Anolis sagrei: one gene and its partners. The protein of the gene in region 2 interacts with the protein of the main gene of each other region in a pairwise test. Links are inferred from orthologs where the notes say so. Each region holds a gene or a part of one and is shown on either strand. Other genes may lie near its edges.

Region 1 (7,574 bases), on a different chromosome or scaffold from region 2:
GTTGTTGTTGTTATTATTATTATTATTATTCGGCAGGGCTTGGATAAGTGGTTCTCAACCTGTGGGTCCCCAGATGTTTTGACTTTCAACTCCCAGAAATTCCGACAGCTGGCAAACTGGCCGGGATTTCTGGGAGTTGTAGGCCAAAACACCTGGGGACCCACAGGTTGAGAACCACTGGATTAGATGAAGCAGTAGTAGACACCTCAGTTAAACTACTAAGCTGCTGACCCTGCTGACTAAAAGGTTTGTGGTTCGAATCCGGGGAGCGGGCTGAGCTCCCGCTGTTAGCCCCAGCTTCTGCCAACCTAGCAGTTTGAAAACATGCAAAAGTGAGTAGATCAATAGGTACCGCTTCTGCGGGAAGGTAATGGTGCTGGATGCAATCATGCTGGCCACATTACCTTGGAGGTGTCTATAGACAATGCCGGCTCTTCAGCTTAGAAATGGAAATGAGCACTACTCCCCAGAGTCGGATTCGACTAGTGTCAAGGGGAAACCTTTACCTTTACTAAACCAACTCGGTCGCTTTCACTATGTCACCAATTTGGGGAGATGGTGGTGGGGTATAAATAAAGTTTATTATTATTATTATTATTATTAAATGGGTAGAAAGGTGGGTAATGACAGTGCGACTAATCAAAATTGGGTGGAGGTAGTGCTTGTAGTTCTGGAGGGACTCTAATTTTTGCTTCTCATATATTTGGGATTGGGTTGACCTGCAACATTTTGGGGTTGGTTTGAACCCCTAAACCGCCCCTTTGGCTACGGCAGGGTTTCTCAACCTGGGGGTTGGGACCCCTCGGGGGGGGGTCGTGAGGGTGTGTCAGAGGGGTCATCAAAGATGTAATCTATGTAATTTCTTTATGCTTGTGGGTAAACAGTATTTCTTGTTGTCTCTTTGTCAGTGTTGATGTGGAAAGTGTCCGGTTTGCCTACTCTGGAAAATGCAATATATTATTGTCCTTCTTTAGGGGTCCCTTTAAAATCTATGATATTACATCTGTGTGTGTGTGTGAATCATATCTATCTATATATATCTATGGCTGGATGGCTCTTTGTCAGGAGGGCTTTGATTAGATTTTCTTGCCCTGGTGAAGAGAGTTGGACTAGATGGCCTCAAGTATTTTCTGTTGGTGATGGGGTTCAGCGTGGAAAATGTGTCCCAATTCTGTTGTTTGTGGGGTTCAGAATGCTCTTTGTTTGTAGGTGAACTATAAATCCCAGTAACTACAACTACCAAATGCCAAGGTCTATTCCCCCCAAACTCCACCTGTGTTCATATTTGGGCATATGGAGTATTTGTGTCAAGTTTGGTCCAGATTCATCATTGTTTGAGTCCACAGTGGTCTCTGGATGTAGGTGAACTACAACTCCAAAACTCAAGGTCAATGCCCACCAAACCCTTCCAGTGTGTTCTGTTGGTCATGGAAGTCCTGTATGCCATGTTTGGATGAATTCCATCATTGGTGGAATTCAGAATGCTCTTTGATTGTAGGTGAACTATAAATCCCAGTAACTACAACTACCAAATGTCAAGGTCTATCCCCCCCCCCCCCAAACTCCACCTGTGTACATATTTGAGCATATGGCATATTTGTGCCAAGTTTGGTCCGGATCCATCATTGTTTGAGTCCACAGTGGTCTCTGGATGTAGGTGAACTACAACTCCTACAAGGTCAATGACTGCCAAACCCTTCTAGTCTTTTCTGTTGGTCATGGGAGTCCTGTGTGTCACCTTTGGTTCAATTCCATCATTGGTGGAGTTCAGAATGCTCTGTGATTGTAGGTGAACTATAATTCCCAGCAACTACAACTACCAAATGTCAAGGTCTATTTCCCTTAAACTCCATCTGTGTTCATATTTGGTCATATGGAATATTAGTGTCAAGTTTGGTCCATCATTGTTTGAGTCCACAGTGCTCTCTGGATGTAGGTGAACTACAACTCCCAAACTCAAGGTCAATGCCCACCAAACCCTTCCAGTGTGTTCTGTTGGTCATGGAAGTCCTGTATGCCATGTTTGGATGAATTCCATCATTGGTGGAATTCAGAATGCTCTTTGATTGTAGGTGAACTATAAATCTCAGCAACTACAACTCCCAAATGACAAAATCATAATTTTTTGAGTGATGGTCACTCCTTGTGTTGTGAGATGTTTTGTAGCCAAATTTGGTGTGATTTTGTTCATTGGCTCTTTTGTTTTTAAGGTACTCATTATGCACAGAGCATTTATATATATATATATGGCACAAATCTATATATATATATATATATATATATATATATATATATATTTCTGTTGGTCATGGAAGTCCTGTATGCCATGTCTAGAAGGGTTTGGTGGGCATTGACCTTGAGTTTGGGAGTTGCAGTTCACTTACATCCAGAGACCACTGTGGACACAAACAATGATGGAGTTGACAAATCTATATAGGTTTGTGCCAAGTTTGGTCCAACTCCATCATTGTTTGAGTCCACAGTGTCTCTGGATGTAAGTGAACTGCAACTCCCAAACTCAAGGTCAATGCCCACCAAACCCTTCTAGTCTTTTCTGTTGGTCATGGGAGCCCTGTGTACTAAGTTTGGCCCAATTCCATCATTGGTGGGGTTCAGAATGCTCTTTGATTGTAGGTGAACTATAAATCCCAGCAACTACAACTCCCAAATGACAAAATCAATTTTTTCGAGTGAAGGCCATACATTGGGTTGTTAGGTGTCTTGTGTCCAAATTTGGTGTCAATTCGTCCAGTGGTTCTTGAGTTCTGTTAATCCCACAAACAAGCATTACATTTTTATTTATATAGATTGGGTTGACTTGCAACTTTTCGGGGTTGGTTTGCACCCCTCACCCGCCCCTTGGCTACAGGCTTGCACCAGAGTGCATAGCGAGGAGGGAGGCCCAGTGGCTCGCGCGCCCGCCTCCCACTCACCTTCCTCTTCCTCCCACGGCCTCCACGCGGGACTCGGCCGGCTGCTTTCCAGCGCCGGGCCCTCCTCTTCCGGGACCGGCCTTCGAGGAAGGAAGGAAAGGCAGGGAAGGAAGGAGGGAGGGCCTAAGAAGAGCGCCGGGGCCTGGAGGCGGCCTCCGCGTGTGTTGACAACATGGCCGCAGCCCGGCGGGCTCAGGCGCTGCGCCTCTACCGGGCCCTCCTGCGGGAGAGCCAGGCCTTCGCCGCCTACGGGTACAGGTAGGACGAGGAGGAGGAGGAGAGGCCTCGGCCCCGTCCCCACGCCCAGAAAGGCCTCCCTGTCCACAGGGTTTCCTTCATCCCTTATAGGCACCAGTGAATGTAGAAAGTATGCTTCCTAGCCTCATGTTATCCTCAGAAATCCACTGATCGGGGTGGGAAAACTTCAAGAGCTAATACAGTTATTATTATTATTTTTATTATTGTTATGAGCTAAGGACCCTTCACCTGGAAGTGTCTTCTTCATGGTGGTGTCCTTGTAATTATTATTAACTAATACCACCATGATCAATAATAACAACAATATAATTAATAATAATACTACCATGATCAATAATAACAACACAATAATACGACCATGATCAATAATAATAACAACATTAAAATCGTGTTACATAGTTCATGCTATCATTATTCATACCACTATGTTAAGTAGTAATAATAGCACAATAATTAATAACACCGCCATGCTTAATAGCAGTAATACCATAATTAATAATAACACCATGATTATTAACAGTAACACCATAATTAATAATAATACCTCTATATTATTAAAATTGTGTCATATAGTATATGGTATTATTATTATTATTCATACCACTATGATAAGTAGTGGCACAGTGGGTTAAAGCGCTGAGCTGCTGAGCTTGTTGACCGAAAGGTCTCAGAATGGCGTGAGCTTCCTTGGTCAGCCCTAGCTTCTGCCAATCTAGCAGTTCAAAAACATGCAAATGTGAGTAGATCAATAGGTACCGCAAGGAGCCCCCGGTGGTGCAGTGGGTTAAACCCCTGTGCCGACAGGACTGAAGACCGACAGGTCGCAGGTTTGAATCCGGGGATAGGCGGATGAGCTCCCTCTATCAGCTCCAGCTTCTCATGCAGGGACATGAGAGAAGCCTCCCACAAGGATGATAAAAACATCAAATCATCCGGGCGTCCCCTGGGCAATGTCCTTGCAAACAGCCAATTCTCTCACACCAGAAGCGACTTGCAGTTTCTCAAGTCGCTCCTGACACAACAAAAAAAAAAGATACCGCTCCGGCAGGGAGGTAATGGTACTCCATGCAGTCATGCCAGCCACATGACCATGACAATGCCGGCTCTTCGGCTTAGAAATGGAGATGAGCACCACACCCCATCTTTAATAATAATACCACCATAATATTAAAATTGTGCCACATAGTGTATGGTATTATTATTATTATTATTATTTATGATAACAATAATAACATTAATAATAATACCACTGTAATATTAAAATCGTGTTACATAATGTATGGTATTATTCATGCCACCATGATCAATAATAACAATAATAAGAATAGCACCATAACTAATAATAACACCACCATGATATGAAAATCATCTTACATAGTGTATGGTATTATTATTATTATTATTATTATTCATACCACCATGATCAATAATAACACAATAACTAATAATACTGCTGCCATCATTAATAATAACACCACCAGAATTAATATTAATATTAAATTGTGTTACATAGTGTATGATATTATTATTCATACCACTGTGATCACTAGTAATAATAACACCAGAATGTATAATACCACAATGATTAATAGCAGTAATACCATAATTAATAATAGTAACACCATAATGAATAATAACACCATGGTTAATAACAAGAATAACACCATAATTAATAATTATATCACCAAGATTAATAATAATAACACCATACACTATGTAACACAATATTATTGTTTATGGTGTTATTATTATGGTGTTATTGTTATTATCATGGTGGTATTATTATACACTATTACATAGTATATGGCATTATGAATCACAATATTTATTTATTGGAGTCAATTTTTACCCCGCTTTTCTCCCACACCAAGGCAAGACTCAAAGCAGCTAACAATACAATAAGAACATACAAAGTAAAGATTAAAACAGATTCAAACCAATAAATTCCTTATAGCAACCTGATTGAGTCTCAACCAATTCAGCAGTTTGTGGCAGCTACAAAAATGATGTTTCTGAAATATAACAACTTTCAAAGTAAATATTGCAAAATTTAACAGGAAATTGTACTTTCAAACCAGGAACAGAATCTTTTTCAAATTGTATGACATAGTGATAATACCACCATGATGAATATGACACCACCATAATTTATCATAATAATATGAATACAATGATAATAATGCTATAATAATACCACAATGATAGATGATAATAAAATACTATTATTAATATTAGCAATGTCAGGCTCTGCATCTCGTAGTGCCAGAACGCTGTCTGTTCAGTGCCTTCCAAGTTGCCCAGTCTTCTCTGTGCCCAGGAGGGAGTCTCTCATTTGGTATCAGCCGTAGATTGAGGTTCCAGGTTTTAGCCTGCCATTTTTGGATTATCATTTGTGGAGGCATTCCTGCAAGTATCTTTGTAGATCTTAGAAAACTATTTCTTGATTTAAGGCGTTGATGTGCTGGCTGATATCCGAACAGAGAATGGGCCAGAGATGTCTCTGCCTTGGCCCTTTCATTATTGGCTGCTACTTCCTGGTGGATGTCAGGTGGTGCAAAACCAGCTAACAGTATACTTCTTCCAGTGATGTGGGGCATGACATTATTACATTATTACATTATCCTGTGATAATGTGTATGTGTCATTAAGGGCCAAATCCATTATTTTAACTGTGAAATGTGTTCTACACTGGACATGCATATTCAGCAACAGAATAGCAAAGCTCAAGGGCAGATGTCTTCACTGTGTCTGGTTGTGATCCCCAAGTTGTGTCAGTCAGCTTTCGTATGATATTATTTCTACCACCCACTTTTTGCTTGATATTCAAGTAGTGCTTCTTATAAGTCAGAGCACGGTCCAGGATAACTTCCAGGTATTTTGATGTTGCGTCCTTGGGAGTGTTTCCTTCATAATGGTAATAGTATTAATAGTTTTTAAAAAGTTCTGGTAAAACAAAACTGCAGAGGGATGCAACTAGTTTGGCGACAAATAAATAGGGATGTTATTGATGCAATTGCTGCTTGACCAAATTTGGAGAAGCAAAAGGGTTTTTTTTCTTTTCTTTTTTTGTTATTCTTTTTGAAGGCAAAGGCAGCAACAATTTTGTTTTCTTTTGTCTTTACATTTCTGGAATTGCTCTTCAAAGGGGGAGGGGAAACCAGGCATGACCCCTTTCAAACAACCTATGCTATTCAATCCTAAAGAGTCTAAATGGTTTCAGAAACTTGCACTGTGAAATGCAGGACAGAAAAGACTGGAGGTGCATGTCTGGGATAAAAATAACATAATAATGTATTGCCAGTGTGATTTGACTGTTGGGCCCCAACTCTGGAAGCCAGGGAATCCCTATTTGGCCATAAGAAATACACTGGAAGCCTTGGGCAAGTCATACTCTCTCAGCCTCAGAGGGAGGCAAAGGCAAACCTCATCTGAACAAATCTCACTATGAGATCAGGATTATTTTATTAATACTATGCATTTTAAACTCACATCTTGTGTTCACTATATATTAATCTTTTTTTCTGTATATTTCAGTACATGTATTGCAGAAATACATTTTAATATGTGGGTATTATATAATAATTATGGCGATTATGTGTTTTGAGCTATGTTGTAACCTGCCATCATCAATAATAATAATAATAATAATAATATTTCCAGAATCTTAGGGATACTATACATTGGAAACAACTTGAAGTCTCACAACAGCAACTGACTCTTAATACACTTGAGTCCTGGCTGGAAAGGTTGTCACTATCATTAGCAGGTAGCAGATGTTCACTCAAAACAGCAAAAAAAATATGCACTCGGACCTATAGCCTTTAAACTTGCTTGCTGGTTTACAGGACAGACCCTCATTGCTCTTATTGGATTCACATTCATTAGACTTTTGTGTGGAAAACAGAATCGGGTGCATTTTATTTTTTGCATCAGGCCATAAAATATCTCAAGCCAGCCTTGAGTTCTGGAGTATTTCCAGAATGATGACACTCCCAAGAATAAGGCAAGACGTGAGTAACCTTTCTTGTCAACCTGAATGTCAAAGATGATGACATCTGAATCGCCTGTAAAATTCCATTAACAAACAAAGCCACTGCATAGTTAAAACCTCATCTGGCAGCATCCCTGCCTATGTCGTAGTGTAACAAGGTGCTGATTTGTTGTTGCTGTGTTATTTCAAGTCATTTCCAACTTATGGTGACCCCATTGTGGGGTTTTCTTGGTACAATTTGCTTAAAGGGGATTTGCCTTTGGGCGAATCAGACTCGCTCAGTGGCTGAATGAGTCCGATTTACCCAAGGTCACCAAGTGGGATTCTGTGGCTGAGCAGGTACTCGAACCCAGCATCTTAGTCCAACACCCAGACTACTACATGAAATTGAT
Region 2 (7,237 bases):
ACCTCCATCTCAAGCTCAGTTGGTGGGAACGAGAGAGAGAGAGCAGATCTTCCTTCTCAATGGCAAATGACCCTCAACTCTGGAACCTCAGAGTTGGAAGAGACCTCATGAGTCATCCAGTCCAACCCCATTCTGTTTCCCCATGCCTCGGCTATGGTAATGCTTTGATGTCCAGCATTTCTCAACCTGGGGGTCAGGACCCCTGGGAAGGTCACAATGGGGTGTCGGGGGGAGGGTCACCAAAGACCATCAGAAAAGACAGAATTTTCTGTTGGTCATGGGGGTTCTGTGTGGGAAGTTTGGCCTAATTCTATTGTTGGTGGGGTTCAGAGTGCTCTCTGATTGTAGATGAACTATAAATCCCAGCAACCACATCTCCCAAATGTCAAGGTCTATTTCCCCCAAACTCCACCAGTATCCACATTTGAGCATATTGAGTATCCATGCCAAGTTTGGTCCAGATCCATCAGTGTTCGAGTCCACAGTGCTCTCTGGATGTAGGTGAACTACAACTCCAAAACTCAAGGTTAATGCCCACCAAACCCTTCCAGTGTTTTCTGTTGGTCATGCGAGTCTGGTTCAATTCCATTGTTGGGGGAGTTCAGAATGCTCTTTGACTGTAGGTGAACTATAAGTCCCAGCAACTACAACTCCCAAATGACAAAATAACCCCTCTTCCAACCCTACCAGTATTCAAATTTGGGCATATCGGGTACATGTCCCAAATTTGGTCCAGTGAATGAAAATACATCCTGCATATCAGATATTTACATAACTATTCACAACAGGAGAAAAATTACAGTTGTGAAGTAGCAACTAAAATAATGTTATGGTTGGGGGTCATCACAACATGAGGAACTGGATTATATTATTATTTGTATAGATGGGAGTGGGTCCGTTGCTCATGATAAGCTTTTGGCCTGCATTAATAGGAGCCTAGTGTCTAGATCTAGGGAAGTAATGCTACCCCTCTATTCTGCTCTGGTTAGACCACACCTGGAATATTGTGTCCAATTCTGGGCATGACAATTCAAGAGAGATATTGACAAGCTGGAATGTGTCGAGAGGAGGGCGACTAAAATGATCAAGGGTCTGGAGAACAAGCCCTATGAGGAGCGGCTTAAGGAGCTTGGCATGTTTAGCCTGAAGAAGAGAAGGCTGAGAGGAGATATGATAGCCATGTATAAATATGTGAGAGGAAGCCACAGGGATGAGGGAGCAAGCTTGTTTTCTGCTTCCTTGGAGAGTAGGACGTGGAACAATGGCTTCAAACTACAAGAGAGGAGATTCCATCTGAACATGAGGAAGAACTTCCTGACTGTGAGAGCTGTTCAGCAGTGGAACTCTCTGCCCCTGAGTGTGGTGGAGGCTCCTTCTTTGGAAGCTTTTAAAGAGAGGCTGGATGGCCATCCATCAGGGGTGATTTGAATGCAATATTCCTGCTTCTTGGCGGAATGGGGTTGGACTGGATGGCCCACGAGGTCTCTTCCAACTCTTTGATTCTATGATCTGGTAAAGCCTCTCTTTGGATGTCCAGAGCTTCAATCAGTTGTGAAGTAGCAACAAAAATAATATTATGGTTGGGGGGTCACCACAACATGAGGAACTGGATTATATTATTATTTGTATAGGTGGGAGTGGGTCCATTGCTCATGATAAGCTTGGTCTGGTAAAGCCTCTCTTTGGATCTCCAGAGCTTCAATCAGTTGTGAAGCAGCCACAAAAAATAATATTATGCTTGGGGGTCACCACAACATGAGGAACTGGATTATATTATTATTCGTATAGATGGGAGTGGGTCCGTTGCTCATGATAAGTCCCCTACATCTCCAGCTCGGTCTGGTAAAGCCTCTCTTTGGATGTCCAGAGCTTCAATCAGTTGTGAAGTACCACCAAAAATAATATTAGGGTTGGGGGTCACCACAACATGAGGACCTGGATTATATTATTATTTGTATAGATGGGAGTGGGTCCATTGCTCATGATAAGCTTGATCTGGTAAAGCCTCTCTTTGGATGTCCAGAGCTTCAATCAGTTGTGAAGTAGCAACAAAAATATTAGGGTTGGGGTTCACCACAACATGAGGAACTGTCTTAAGGAGTCGCAGCATTAGGAAGACTGAGAAACACTGTGTTAATCCACTTGGAGGAAGATCAATCATATGATAACCATACCCCTAAAGAAGGGATGGGGTTTGTTGTCCCCTTGCCAAGGAGGCTGCCTCCCCTTGGGGTCTGGGGGCGTCCAACCCAATGGGATGGGAAGCCAGGCTTCCAACTGGACATTCCTGAGCATTGGGAAGTGAGAGAGTCAGAGAGAAGAGGGAGGGGGGGGGGACACACACTTCTTGCCAAGGGGATGATGATGAGGATGATGATGCCCCCTTGGCCCCACCCGTCGGAGGAGGAAGAAGAAGAAGAGACCCCCGCCCCTTCCCGGAGGAGGAGGAGGAGAAGGAAGAAGCTCCCACCCGGCCAAGAAGGTGGGAGCTCGAGCCAGCCTTCCCTTTCCTCCGTAGAGAGAGTCAATCAAGGGTGACTCTCTTCGCGGAGGGAAGGGAAAGGAAGGGCGGCTCTGGCTCTTTGTCCCGGTCTTTGGGGAGGGAAGGAGGGAAGGAGGGAGGCAGACCTACCAGCCGGAGCGAAGACCCTCCGCGCCGACGCCACCGCTCCTGCCGCCCGGCTGTCATCTTGCTGGAGGCGCGGAGAGGAGGAGGAGGAAGAGGAGGAAGAAGAAGAAGTGGAGGAGGAGGAGCGCCTCCGAAAGGAAGGGAGGGAGGAGGGAAGGAAAGAAGAGAGGAGAGGAGAGGAGGGCTGGGATTGGGGAGGAAGGAGGGAGGAGAGAAGGAAGAAGCCCGAGCCAGCCCTGCGGACCGCCTCCCGCCCAAATCAGCTCGCCCTCCTCTTCCTCTCCTCCTCCTCTTCCTCTCCGACGGACTCACAATGCCTCCCAGAGCCAGAGAGGAGTCTCTGACACCTCTACCTGCCTAGGAATAATAGCCGGGGAGGGTCTAATCGATATATTGTCTCTTTCTCTTCTGGAGCCCAGAGGGGCGTGGCTTTCTCCCCCCCCCCTCCGAGGGGTGTGGCTCCCAAAACCTGCCAGCCCCGCCCACCCCAAACCTAGCCCCCTCCCAACATGTTTCTCTCTTGTTGAGGGATCCTCACCTCTGCAAGAGTCTATCTACTGTAGGCATCCTCAAACTGGGTTGTTTGAGGATGCCACCGTGGTTCTCAAGATGTTTTTGGCCTTCAACTCCCAGAAATCCTAACAGCTGGCAAACTAGCAGAGATTTCTGAGAGCTGTAGGCCAAAAACATCTGGGGACCCCAGGTTGAGAACCACTAGAACAGTGGTTCTCAACCTGGGGTCCCCAGATGTTTTTCTCCTACAACTCCCAGAAATCCCTGCCAGTTTACTAGCTGTTAGGATTTCTGGGAGTTGAAGGCCAAAAACATCTGGGGACCCCAGGTTGAGTACCACTAGAAGCATTCCCTCCTGACGTTTCACCTGCAACTATGGCAGTGTTTCTCAACCTGGGGGTCGTGAGGGGGTTTCAGAGGGATCTCCAAAGACCATCAGAAAACACAGTATTTTCTGTTCATCATGGAGGTTCTGTGTGGGAAGTTTAGCCCAATTCTATCATTGGTAAGGTTCAGAATGCTCTTTGATGGTAAGTGAACTATAAATCCCTGCAACTGCAACTCCCAAATGTCAAGGTCTATTTCCCCCAAACTCCACCAGTGTTCACATTTAGGCATATTGAGTATTCGTGCCAAGTTTGGTCCAGATCAATCATTGTGTGAGTAGGCAGAGCTCTCTGGATGTAGGTGAACTACAACTCCAAAACCCAAGGTCAATGTCCTCCAAACCCTTCTAGTATTTTCTGTTGGTCATGGGAGTTCTGTGTGCCAACTTTGGTTCAATTCCATTGTTAGTGGGGTTCAGAATGCTCTTTGTTTACAGGTTAGCTATAAATCCCAGCAACTACAACTCCCAAATGGCAAAATCAATCCCCCCGCCAACCCCACCAGTATTCAAATTTGGGCATACCAGGTATTTGTGCCAAATTTGCTCCAGTGAATGAAAATACATCCTGCAGATCATTATTTACATGGCGATTCATAATGTTAGGGTTATGGTTGGGGGTCACCACAACATGAGGAACTGTATTAAGGGGTCATGGCATTAGGAAGGTTGAGAACCACTGCACTAGAAGCATTCCCTCCTGACGTTTCGCCTGCATCTATGGCAGTGTTTCTCAACCAGGGGGTCGTGAGGGGGTATCAGAGGGGTCCCCAAAGACCATCAGAAAACACAGTATTTTATGTTCATCATGGAGGTTCTGTGTGGGAAGTTTGGCCCAGTTCTATCATTGGTGAGGTTCAGAATGCTCTTTGATTGTAGGTGAACTATAAAGCCCAGCAACTGCAACTCCCAAATGTCAAGGTCTATTTCCCCCAAACTCCAACAGCGTTCACATTTAGGCATATTGAGTATTTGTGCCAAGTTTGGTCCAGATCAATCATTGTGTGAGTAGACAGTGCTCTCTGGATATAGATGAACTACAACTCTCAAATCTCAAGGTCTATTTTCCCCAAACTCCACCAGTGTTCACATTTAGGCATATTGAGTATTCGTGCCAAGTTTGGTCCAGATCAATCATTGTGTGAGTAGGCAGAGCTCTCTGGATGTAGGTGAACTACAACTCCAAAACCCAAGGTCAATGTCCACCAAACCCTTCCAGTATTTTCTGTTGGTCATGGGAGGTTTTGTGTGGGAAGTGTGGCAATTCTATCATTGCTGGGGTTCAAAATGCTCTTTGATTGTAGGTGAACTATATTTATTTATTTATTTTGAACAACTGGTTTGGGAGACAGTGGTCAGGAATCCGGACAACGTGGCCGGTCCAGCGGAGTTGATGGCGGAGGACCATCGCTTCAGTGCTGGTGGTCTTTGCTTCTTCCAGCACACTGATGTTTGTCCGCCTGTCTTCCCAAGAGATTTGCAGGATTTTCCGGAGGCAGCGCTGATGGAATCGTTCTAGGAGTTGCATGTGACATCTGTAGACAGTCTACGTTTCACAGGCATAGAGCAGGGTTGGGAGGACAATAGCTTTATAGACAAGCACCTTGGTCTCCCTACAGATGTCCCAGTCCTCAAACACTCTCTGTTCATTCAGAAAAATGCTGCACTCGCAGAGCTCAGGCGGTGTTGTATTTGTGTGTCGATGTTGACTTTGGTGGAGAGGTGGCTGCCAAGGGAGCGGAAATGGTCAACGTTTTCTAATGTTACACCATTAAGCTTGTTTCTGCACACTTTCCTATGGAATGGATGAGTGCCCATATAGAAGCAATGCTGAGCCACAGAACACTCCGATGGCAAATTTATGAGCCAGTAAAGACATGTTTTATTGCATTGTAATTATTTTAAAAAGTTAATTCAAGTGCCTTACTCCAATCTTTAACAATAAGCAGAGTCATTGGGCTGCACTTTAATAATAATTTTCAAAAATCTGGATAGCTTGAAAAATTCATAATGTCTTTTAGGTCTTAAAGACAGATATTTTTTGTCTGGATTTCCTTGCAACTACTTTCTTTTCTCTGTAAAACAATGTGAGTAAAAAGCATAGCCGTGGTGACAGAAATTAGCAGAACGCCAAAACAATCACGTATCGTGGAAAATTGGGTGCCCCACGCCTGTCACGGTTTTCCGCATTTCCCTTCGCCTGGGAAATGTGCTACCATTACAGGGGGAGGGGACGCAGATGCCGCCAACATCAAAGGAGACATTATAATGTGATGGTGAAAAGACAAAAACATAAGTATTGTGAGTACTTCTTTTGAAGTCAGACTTTCTAATTTCATGGTGCACATTGCTGGACGTAGCATGTGCCGTTAAGATTTATTCTGTTCTGGAATTAAGTGTTTTAGGACTCTACAACACCTCGCTTGATGCTGAACATTGGTACATGTTGCTGCTATAAGATAACACTATGTAACAAAATTTGCAAATTTTTCTGTTCCCGGTTTGAAAGTGTTATTTCATGTTTAATTGTGAGGTGAAGCTGACTGGCACAACCTGGGGATCACAACCAGATATAGTGAAGACATCTGCCCTTGCGCTTTGCTACTCTGCTGCTGAGTACGCATACCAAGCGTGAAACACATATCACCATGTTAAAACAGTGGATGTGGCTCTGAATGAGACATGCCGCATTATCACATGATGTCTGCACCCTACAGCACTGGAAAAATTATACTGTTTAGCCGGTATTGTACCACTGTTGACATCCACCGGAAAATAACAGCCAATAATGAAAGGACCAAGGCAGTGACATCTCCAGCCCATCCTCTGTTCGGATATCAGCCAGCACGCCAACACTTTAAATCAAGAAATAGTTATCTAAGATCTACAGAGATACATGCAGGAACACCTCAGCAAGCAAGAGTCCAAAAATGGCAGGCGAAAACCCGGAACCTCAATCAACGGCTGATACCCAATGAGAGACTTCTTCCTGGGCACACAGAAGACTGGGCAACCTGGAAGGTGCTGAATAGACTGCACTCTGGCACCACGAGATGCAGAGCGAACCTTAAGAAATATAAAACAGTCACTCACTATTCAGCCACTCCAGGATCCAAGCCAATGCAGATCCAAGCAACAATGCAGGGGTATTTCAAAAGTCATAGTCAAATGTCCTCACCAAAACATCCAAATCTATGCATAATCCAAAGTTTCAAAGTCAGGGTCCAAAACAGGCACACTATGTCATCAGACAGAACTCCAAATATTGCTCCTAACAAAGACCAAATCCAAACTACCACTCTTTATACCTCTCACCTGTTGGCCCTTCTCTGTGCCAACCAAGTGGATCTGTGCAGCTGAATAGCATCAGTCCTCAGTTGCAGTCTTTCTGGGATACTTAACTCTGCCTCATTGCTCTCCTGACCCGGAGTTAACTCAGGACTCCCGCTTGCCTGAGGCACTTGCATCACACTAGAGAAAAAATCCACTTAAAATCCTGCAGAATTCTGAGGTTTTTAGTTTAGTGAGGCTGTTAAAGGCTCCTCCCTAAACTACAAACCCCAGAGTTCTGCAGGAGGCAGAAATTGGATTTTAAGTGGATTTTTCTCTAGTGTAATGAGGCTATTGGTCCTGCACTGCAGGGTTAGCTTCCTCAGTGTCAGAATGCAACTGTTGTTGTTCCCTGCTAGCTACTGACTGAGCTGCTGGTC
Region 3 (7,116 bases), about 8.0 Mb from region 2:
AAATGACAAAATCAATTCCCTCCCCAATCCAAATAAATTTTGGGTGCATTGGGTGTTTGTGCCAAATTTGGTCCAGTGAATGAAAATACATCCTTCCCAGAATAAGGACTCCCAAGCAATATGTCCCAAATGCACTTTATGAGAGATTTAGAACCTATCTCTAAAATAGCCATCCTATTTCCCTTGGACATGCCCAGCATTTTTAAATTTTAAGCCTTACATTTGGCCCTGCCACAGGTTTTTAAATGCATCGTGTCATTATTGTATTGTTTTGCTTTGTTATGAGTTATTTATTGTTGTATTGTTGTTGTTATGTTTTATTATGTATTTTGGGCTCGGCCTCTTGTAAGCCGCACCGAGTCCTGTGGGAGATGCTGTCGGGGTATAAATAAAGGATTATTATTATTATTATTATTATTATTATTATTATTATTATCCTGTATGTCAGATATTTACATTACGATTCATAACAGTAGCAAAATTACAGTTATGAAGTAGCAAAGAAAATAATTTTATGGTTGGGGGTCACCACAACATGAGGAAAGGTATTAAGGAGTCACGGCATTAGGAAGATTGAGAACCACTGCTGTAAGACAACCTAGGTCATTCACATAGATGGATAGTAAGGATAACACATTAAGTCTAAACTGTACCACTAATGCAGTTTGACTCCACTACTCCTGCCATGGCTCAATGCTTTGAAATCCTGGGAGATGTAGTTTAGTGAGATAGCAACATTTTTTGGCAGAGAAGGCTAAAGATCCTGCAAAACTGCAGTGCCCAGCACTAAAGAGCATTGAACCACAATGGTTAAAGTAATGTCAAACTGAAATAACTCTGTGTTTTCGAAGTCTTTCATGGTCGGAATCACTGGGTTGCTGGGAGTTTTTTGAGCTGTATGACCATGTTCCAGAAGCATTTTCTCCTGACGTTTCACCCACACCTATGGCAGGAATCCTCTGAGGTTGTGAGGATGCCTCAAAAACCTCACAATCTCTGAGGATGCCTGGCATGGATGTGAGTGAAACGTCAGGAGAAAATGCTTCTGGAACATGGTCATACAGCACAGAAAACTCATAGCAACCCTGTAATAACTCTGCCACGTAGATGCATTTTAAGACTACCATGTATTGTTTCTGTCTCCCATGAAATTTAACCAGTGGTCATTTACAATTACCAGCTCTCTCTGTGCAGACCCCACCCCCTAAATAAAGGGGGGAAAACGGCTCTCTCTTTACTCAAATATAATTGCTCAGGGAAAAAGAGCGTCTCTTTGCTACTGCTCGGAGGATAGAGCGCTTCCTTCATTTAGGCCAGGTAATTGAATCCAAGGAGCTATATTTAACATACCTCTTTATCTAAATGAATTTATTGATGGGGAGGAAAATGGATGCGCTGCCAGAGACTCTGTTGCTGACCGTGTCGGAAATGATTAAGTTGATGGCTTCACAAAAGCTGCTTGGCTCCCTGTACCTCCCCATCGTCCACCCGCACAGCCGGCAGAAAAGGATGTAATCAAGGGGAGCCACATCTCCAAGGGTGGCTGGTAGCATCCCAGAAAGCATCAGACAGGAGTTGGTCCAGCTAGGGATTTTGTATCCACCCAATCCTGGTCAACCCTAGGACGAATGTACTTGCTTATTCAGGTTGAACACTGGGATGAACAGCCAAGCTAAGAGGGGATGCAGCAGTTTGTTTTTGCCAGAGTCTCCTGGGAAGGGAGGCCTGTTAGCGATAATCATAGCATTGTAGACTCATAAAGTTGGAAGAGACTTCTAGGGTCATCCAATCTAACCCCCTTCTGCCAGTAAAGCAGTGGTTCCCCAACCATTTTTTTTAACCAGGGTCCACTTTGACAAGAGGCCACTTGACCAGGGACCACATTCCAACATTAGTACCAAAAGGGTTATGAATCAATGTATTGTCGAAGGCTTTCATGGCTGGAATCACTGGGTAGTTGTAGGTTTTTTCAGGCTATATGGCCATGTTCTAGAGGCATTCTCTCCTGATGTTTCGCCTGCATCTATGGCAAGCATCCTCAGAGGCAGTGAGGTCTGTTGGAACTAGGAAAATGGGTTTATATATCTGTGGAAAGACCAGGGTGGGACAAAGGACTCTTGTCTGCTGGAGCTAGGTGTGAATGTTTCAACTGACCACCTTGATTAGCATTTGATAGCCTGGAAGTGCCTGGAGAAATCTTTTGTTGAGAGGTGATTAGATGTCCCTGATTGTTTTCCCTCTGGAAAATCTGGCTACCTGTTTTAAAAAACTCTAAAATTAAAACAGCAAAACAGCAGATCAATATAATAACAATTAAAACAATATGTAAAACATTCATTAAACCAGTAAAAAAACAGTATTAATAGCCATCTGCTCACCCACAGAAAACCATATTTAATTAGTCTCAGCACTATAAGGGGTTTTTGTGAGACCAGCTGCATTCATTGCAATGGTGTAGTAATGGTGAGTCTGCAAACCTATTTTAGTTCTTGGGGACCACTGGTGGTCTACACACCACAGATTAGAAACCACTGCTCACTCACAGAAAACCGTATTTAATAAGCCTCAGCACTGTAAGAGGATTGTGCGAGACCAGTCGCATTTGTTGAAATTCGTCCATGGACCATATTTTAGTTCTTACTGACCACTGGTGGTCCACAGGCCACAGATTGGAAACCACTGCTCGCTCACAGCAAACCATATTTAATAAGCCTCAGCATTATAAGAGGATTTTGCGAGACCAGTTGCATTCATTGAAATTTGTCCACGGACCATATTTTAGTTCTTATGGACCACTGGTGGTCCACAGACCACAGATTGGAAACCACTGCTCACTCACAGAAAACCATATTAATAAGCCTCAGCACTATAAGAGGATTTTGTGAGACCAGTCGCATTAAAATTCGTCCACGGACCATATTTTAGTTCTTGCGGACCACTGGTGGTCCGTGGAGCACAGGTTGGGAACCAATGCATTAAAGAATACAGAATCCGAACACTCCTGGCAGAATCTATCTAGGCTCCAGAGAAGTGGACTCCACCAGACTCCAAATCATCAGTGGATTTCACTATCAAAAGCTCTGACTGCATGATTTTTTCCCACTTTTGTTTGGATGGAATCTCTTTTTTTTTGCAATTTAAAGCTATTGCTCTGTATCGTAGTCTCTGAAGCGATGGAGAACACATCTTCCATGTGACCTTCTTGTGTTAAAACAGGTAATGGCCAACTTGGGCCCTCCAGGTGTTTTGGACTTCAACTCCCACCATTCTTAACAGCTTCAGCCCCATACTTTCGCTCCTCAGCGGCTTAAGCTGAGGCGGCTGAGGGGGGAAGGGAAAGGAAAGGGCCTGAGGCTGTTAGGAATGGTGGGAGTTGAAGTCCAAAACACTTGGAGGACCCAAGTTGGCCTATGACTGTTTTAACACAAGAAGGTCCCACGTGTTAGCCTTTTAACACAAGGCTATCATGTCCCTTGTTCATGAGATTCATGAGGTCACGAAGAGTCAGAAGCAACTGAACGAATGAACAACAACAAATCATGTCCCTTCTTTGCTATTTCTTCTCCAATCTAAACATACTCAATTCTCTAATTCCTGGTTCCCAGACCTTTGACCTTTTTGGACAGCCTCCAGTTTGCCCATCTCCTTCTTGAATTATGGAGCCCAGACCTGGATGCAATATTCAAGGTGGCCTAATCAGAATAAAGTGGTATTATTCCTTTCCTTGATTTGGAAACTATCCTCCTATCGATGCAGCCTAGGTTATGATAATACACACACTATGCATTTACTTCATCTTCACTGTTATTATTTATTTTATTTTAATTTATTTATTTGAATTGTGGTGAAGTGATCAGCAACAACCAATGCTCTGTCCTCCAGATGTGACTGGACTTCAGTCTCCGCTGTCCCTCATCGAGGGCTCTGTGGCCTAGGGCTGATGGGTGCTGCAGTCCGAACACAACTGGCGGCCGCTGCTGCTCTGAAGACTGGTGCTGCTGTTGGCAAGGAGCCCAGACCGTTGCTCTCGCTGGGGATTGGCGTTGGCTGGTGATGTCATGCATCTGCAGAGCCATAAACTTGGGGTCCTTGGCGAAAGCCAGCAAACTGTCTCATCTCCGTATGTTGGGGATGACAGTCCGGTTTGTTGTGTGAGCACAAACCAGAGAGGACCAGGCGACATCACAACTTGCTCACCCTCTTCTTTGATTTGCATTGTCCGCAAGAAAGCTGTGATTTGGGCCGGAGTCAAGAATCGAACTTTCTCCACTTGCCACACCTTCACAGACTGAGTGACCATGCAGTGGCACCAGCTTTTTCTAGCTGGCACTGGAGAATCATGATGGTAACGCTCTTGGAAAATTTGGGAATAAAACAGTGAACAATGCCCCCCGAACTGGAGCTCAGTCACCTCTCTGCGGCCATTTGAGGAGCCCCAATCCAAAGGGGTGCTGCACCTCTTGAAAATCTAGAGTGAGAGTGCCTTCCAATGGCAATCCACCCTGACGGCAAAGCTCGCTGAGGCCAGATCACCCTTTGCAGAAGGGGCCCTGGGTGTGTGTGTGTGTCAGTGTGTGTCTGCACACACAAGGCACTAGGACCTAGGAGGAGTCCCGGCAAATCTGGCAGGAATTTCTTGCTTGGAGCTCAGACAACAAAGGCAGAGTGTGGCTGGCTTTCTCTCTCTCAGCATCTCCACCCTGCAAGAGCTGAAAACCGGTAAGTATTCCTTGGAAGCCTTTCCAGGCAGAGAAAGCAGCAGAGATGGGATGCCAAAGGCAGGGGAAGGAAAGAGAGAGTCAGGCTGGAGATGAAGGAGGTCCACGCCCCATCCAAAGCTCTGGCTTTTCAAAGTTGCATTGAGCTCCCATTGTTTCCAGTGTGATGTTTAGAGAGCAGCGAAGTAGTGCTGGGTTTGGGTGGGGATGATTTTTTTGGCAACTCTGGTGAAGGAAAAGCAATGGGAAGCTCCCTTCCCTGCATGACAGGAGTGAAGGTCAGGGACAGGTCACCGTGACTCCTCGAAAAGGAAGGCAGAGACTCTGGCAGAAGGCAAGCAACAGCTTTTCTCAGGATTTGTACCTGATCACCCAGCCTTGAGGTTTTTAATCCCATTTCAGCTGTGCGAAGCTGCGATGAGCAGATGTGAGTTGCATGCTAATAGCCTTGGACAGCCAAGAGTGATCGGGCTCATAGGTTTCGTGGGATCCCTTTGGAGGGGCTGGGATCCTTTGCATCTCCAGCTCATACCTGAGATGATCCCTGTCACTCCCCTTTTCCACACTATTCGCACACTGAACTAAGGCGCTTTCCCAATTCCACTAAGCGTGCGCTCAGAGCAGTGAACAATGAAAGGTGCTCTTGCGGTGGCGTGATGAGACTGCATCTGTCAGACACCTTCAGCAATTAAAATACACTTCATTAACAGGAAAAGGAAGGGTGCAGGGAGAAGTAACCATATTCTCCAATTGAATGACATCTGGTGTCAATATCATTTCATATCAACTCACCCACTGCTCTTGAATACGGTCCCCGCCCCATACTTTTTGTCTGAATTTCTAGGATTTCAAGGGTTTTCATAGGGAGTGGTGACTCTGGAGATGTGAGTAAGTGAGATGTGACTGCTCTTCTGGCTTTCAGACACTCACAAAGGATACAGCATTGTTGCCGTATCTCTGTCCAGCCATCAGCCATTCCAGTTTGATTCTCATTTGAAAGGTCCCTTTGGCTCAGGCTGTCTCTCCATCAGCATCTGGATAGGTTTGATACCCGAGCACAGGTTCTCAAGTCTTTGGAAGGTGGGATTCCTCTCTTCATTGTTGGTTCTATCCATCTACCGCTGAAGGGAAGTTTTGCATCAAAACTGCGGGGAACTTCATTCAGTTCAAACTGTTTGTAGCTGGCATGCATCCTGAAGTGACGCCCACAAACCTCTCCATCACATTCTCCTATTATTAGAAACCCAGGGTTGAGCCAGAGATAGAAATCCTTTGGTTCCAGGTTGTGTATCATTCAGTCAATTGTGTTGTTGAGATAGGACCCTCCCATTCCCTGTGCCTTACTCCCAAAAATACACAGAGGAGGGGGAAGTCCTTTGTGGCATCAATCCAAGCAAAGTAAGACATTGGGCAAGGCTTCGTTTTATTGGAAAGCACAAAGTTTAGCTTGAAGATCTGCTGTTAACAGTGTTTTCCTCTTTCTAGCTGACTATATTTTGTTTCCTTTGCACTCTTTCCTCCTCCACCTCCCAGCTTCACAACTTCAGGGCTCACCGAGCTATGGAACTTGATTTTGGACACTTTGACGAAAGAGACAAGGCGTCCAGAAACATGCGAGGCTCCCGGATGAACGGCCTGCCGAGCCCCACTCACAGTGCCCACTGCAGCTTCTACCGCACCCGGACCTTACAAGCCCTGAGCAACGAGAAGAAAGCCAAGAAGGTGCGCTTCTATCGCAATGGGGACCGCTACTTCAAGGGCATTGTGTACGCCGTCTCTGGAGACCGTTTCCGGAGCTTCGACGCCTTGCTTGCCGACCTGACCCGGTCCCTGTCCGATAACATTAACCTGCCTCAGGGAGTGCGCTACATTTACACCATCGATGGCAACAGGAAGATTGGGAGCATGGATGAGCTGGAGGAAGGTAATGAGCTGCAAGCGATGCTGGTGCATGGAGGGTGGAGAACACTGCAAGCCTTGATGCTTCACGCATTATGAGCTGAGCATGCCTCAGGTTAGGGTGCATGAATGTCAGTGGAGGGTATACTATACCCATTGATTCACCTCCCACAGCATTAGAGTTCATTCATAAATTGGAGTTTCTTATATTCTTGATTCATCTAGATAAGGGAAGTTGGGAATATGAACAATGGACCTCAGAGGAAGATTTAGATTAAATCTTTATGGAAAATATCAGAGACCGGATGTGGGATTTCCTGCAAATAAATCATGTGGGTTGTTGTGAATTTTCCGGGCTGTATGGCCATGTTCCAGAAGCATTATCTCCTGGCATTTTGCCTGCATCTATGGCAGGCATCCTCAGAGGTTGTGAGGTCTGCTGGAAACTAGGAAAATGGGGTTTATATATCTGTGGAATGTCCAGAGTGGGACATTCCTG

The links. The genes of interacting proteins can lie anywhere in the genome.
Region 1: the proteins of MID2 (region 2) and FARS2 interact in binary tests that used the Homo sapiens proteins (3 or more experiments, as listed by UniProt). The two-hybrid records come from large-scale screens. The link is inferred for Anolis sagrei from reciprocal best matches to the Homo sapiens genes MID2 and FARS2.
Region 3: the proteins of MID2 (region 2) and DCX interact in binary tests that used the Homo sapiens proteins (3 or more experiments, as listed by UniProt). The two-hybrid records come from large-scale screens. The link is inferred for Anolis sagrei from reciprocal best matches to the Homo sapiens genes MID2 and DCX.

The regions. Positions count from the first base shown.
Region 1 is NC_090024.1:86,269,661-86,277,234, forward strand, and holds the start of FARS2 (phenylalanine--tRNA ligase, mitochondrial), read right to left. Parts: upstream 3,025-7,574; 5' UTR 2,934-3,024; intron 1-2,933. Other genes in the region: LYRM4 (LYR motif-containing protein 4), read left to right, coding at 3,106-3,191. UniProt on the Homo sapiens protein: Is responsible for the charging of tRNA(Phe) with phenylalanine in mitochondrial translation.
Region 2 is NC_090030.1:10,913,930-10,921,166, reverse strand, and holds the start of MID2 (probable E3 ubiquitin-protein ligase MID2), read right to left. Parts: upstream 3,024-7,237; 5' UTR 2,633-3,023; intron 1-2,632. UniProt on the Homo sapiens protein: E3 ubiquitin ligase that plays a role in microtubule stabilization. Mediates the 'Lys-48'-linked polyubiquitination of LRRK2 to drive its localization to microtubules and its proteasomal degradation in neurons.
Region 3 is NC_090030.1:18,943,249-18,950,364, reverse strand, and holds the start of DCX (neuronal migration protein doublecortin), read left to right. Parts: upstream 1-4,092; 5' UTR 4,093-4,719; intron 4,720-5,120; exon of another isoform or gene 5,121-5,145; intron 5,146-5,705; exon of another isoform or gene 5,706-5,798; intron 5,799-5,984; exon of another isoform or gene 5,985-6,116; intron 6,117-6,251; 5' UTR 6,252-6,278; coding exon 6,279-6,642; intron 6,643-7,116. UniProt on the Homo sapiens protein: Microtubule-associated protein required for initial steps of neuronal dispersion and cortex lamination during cerebral cortex development. May act by competing with the putative neuronal protein kinase DCLK1 in binding to a target protein.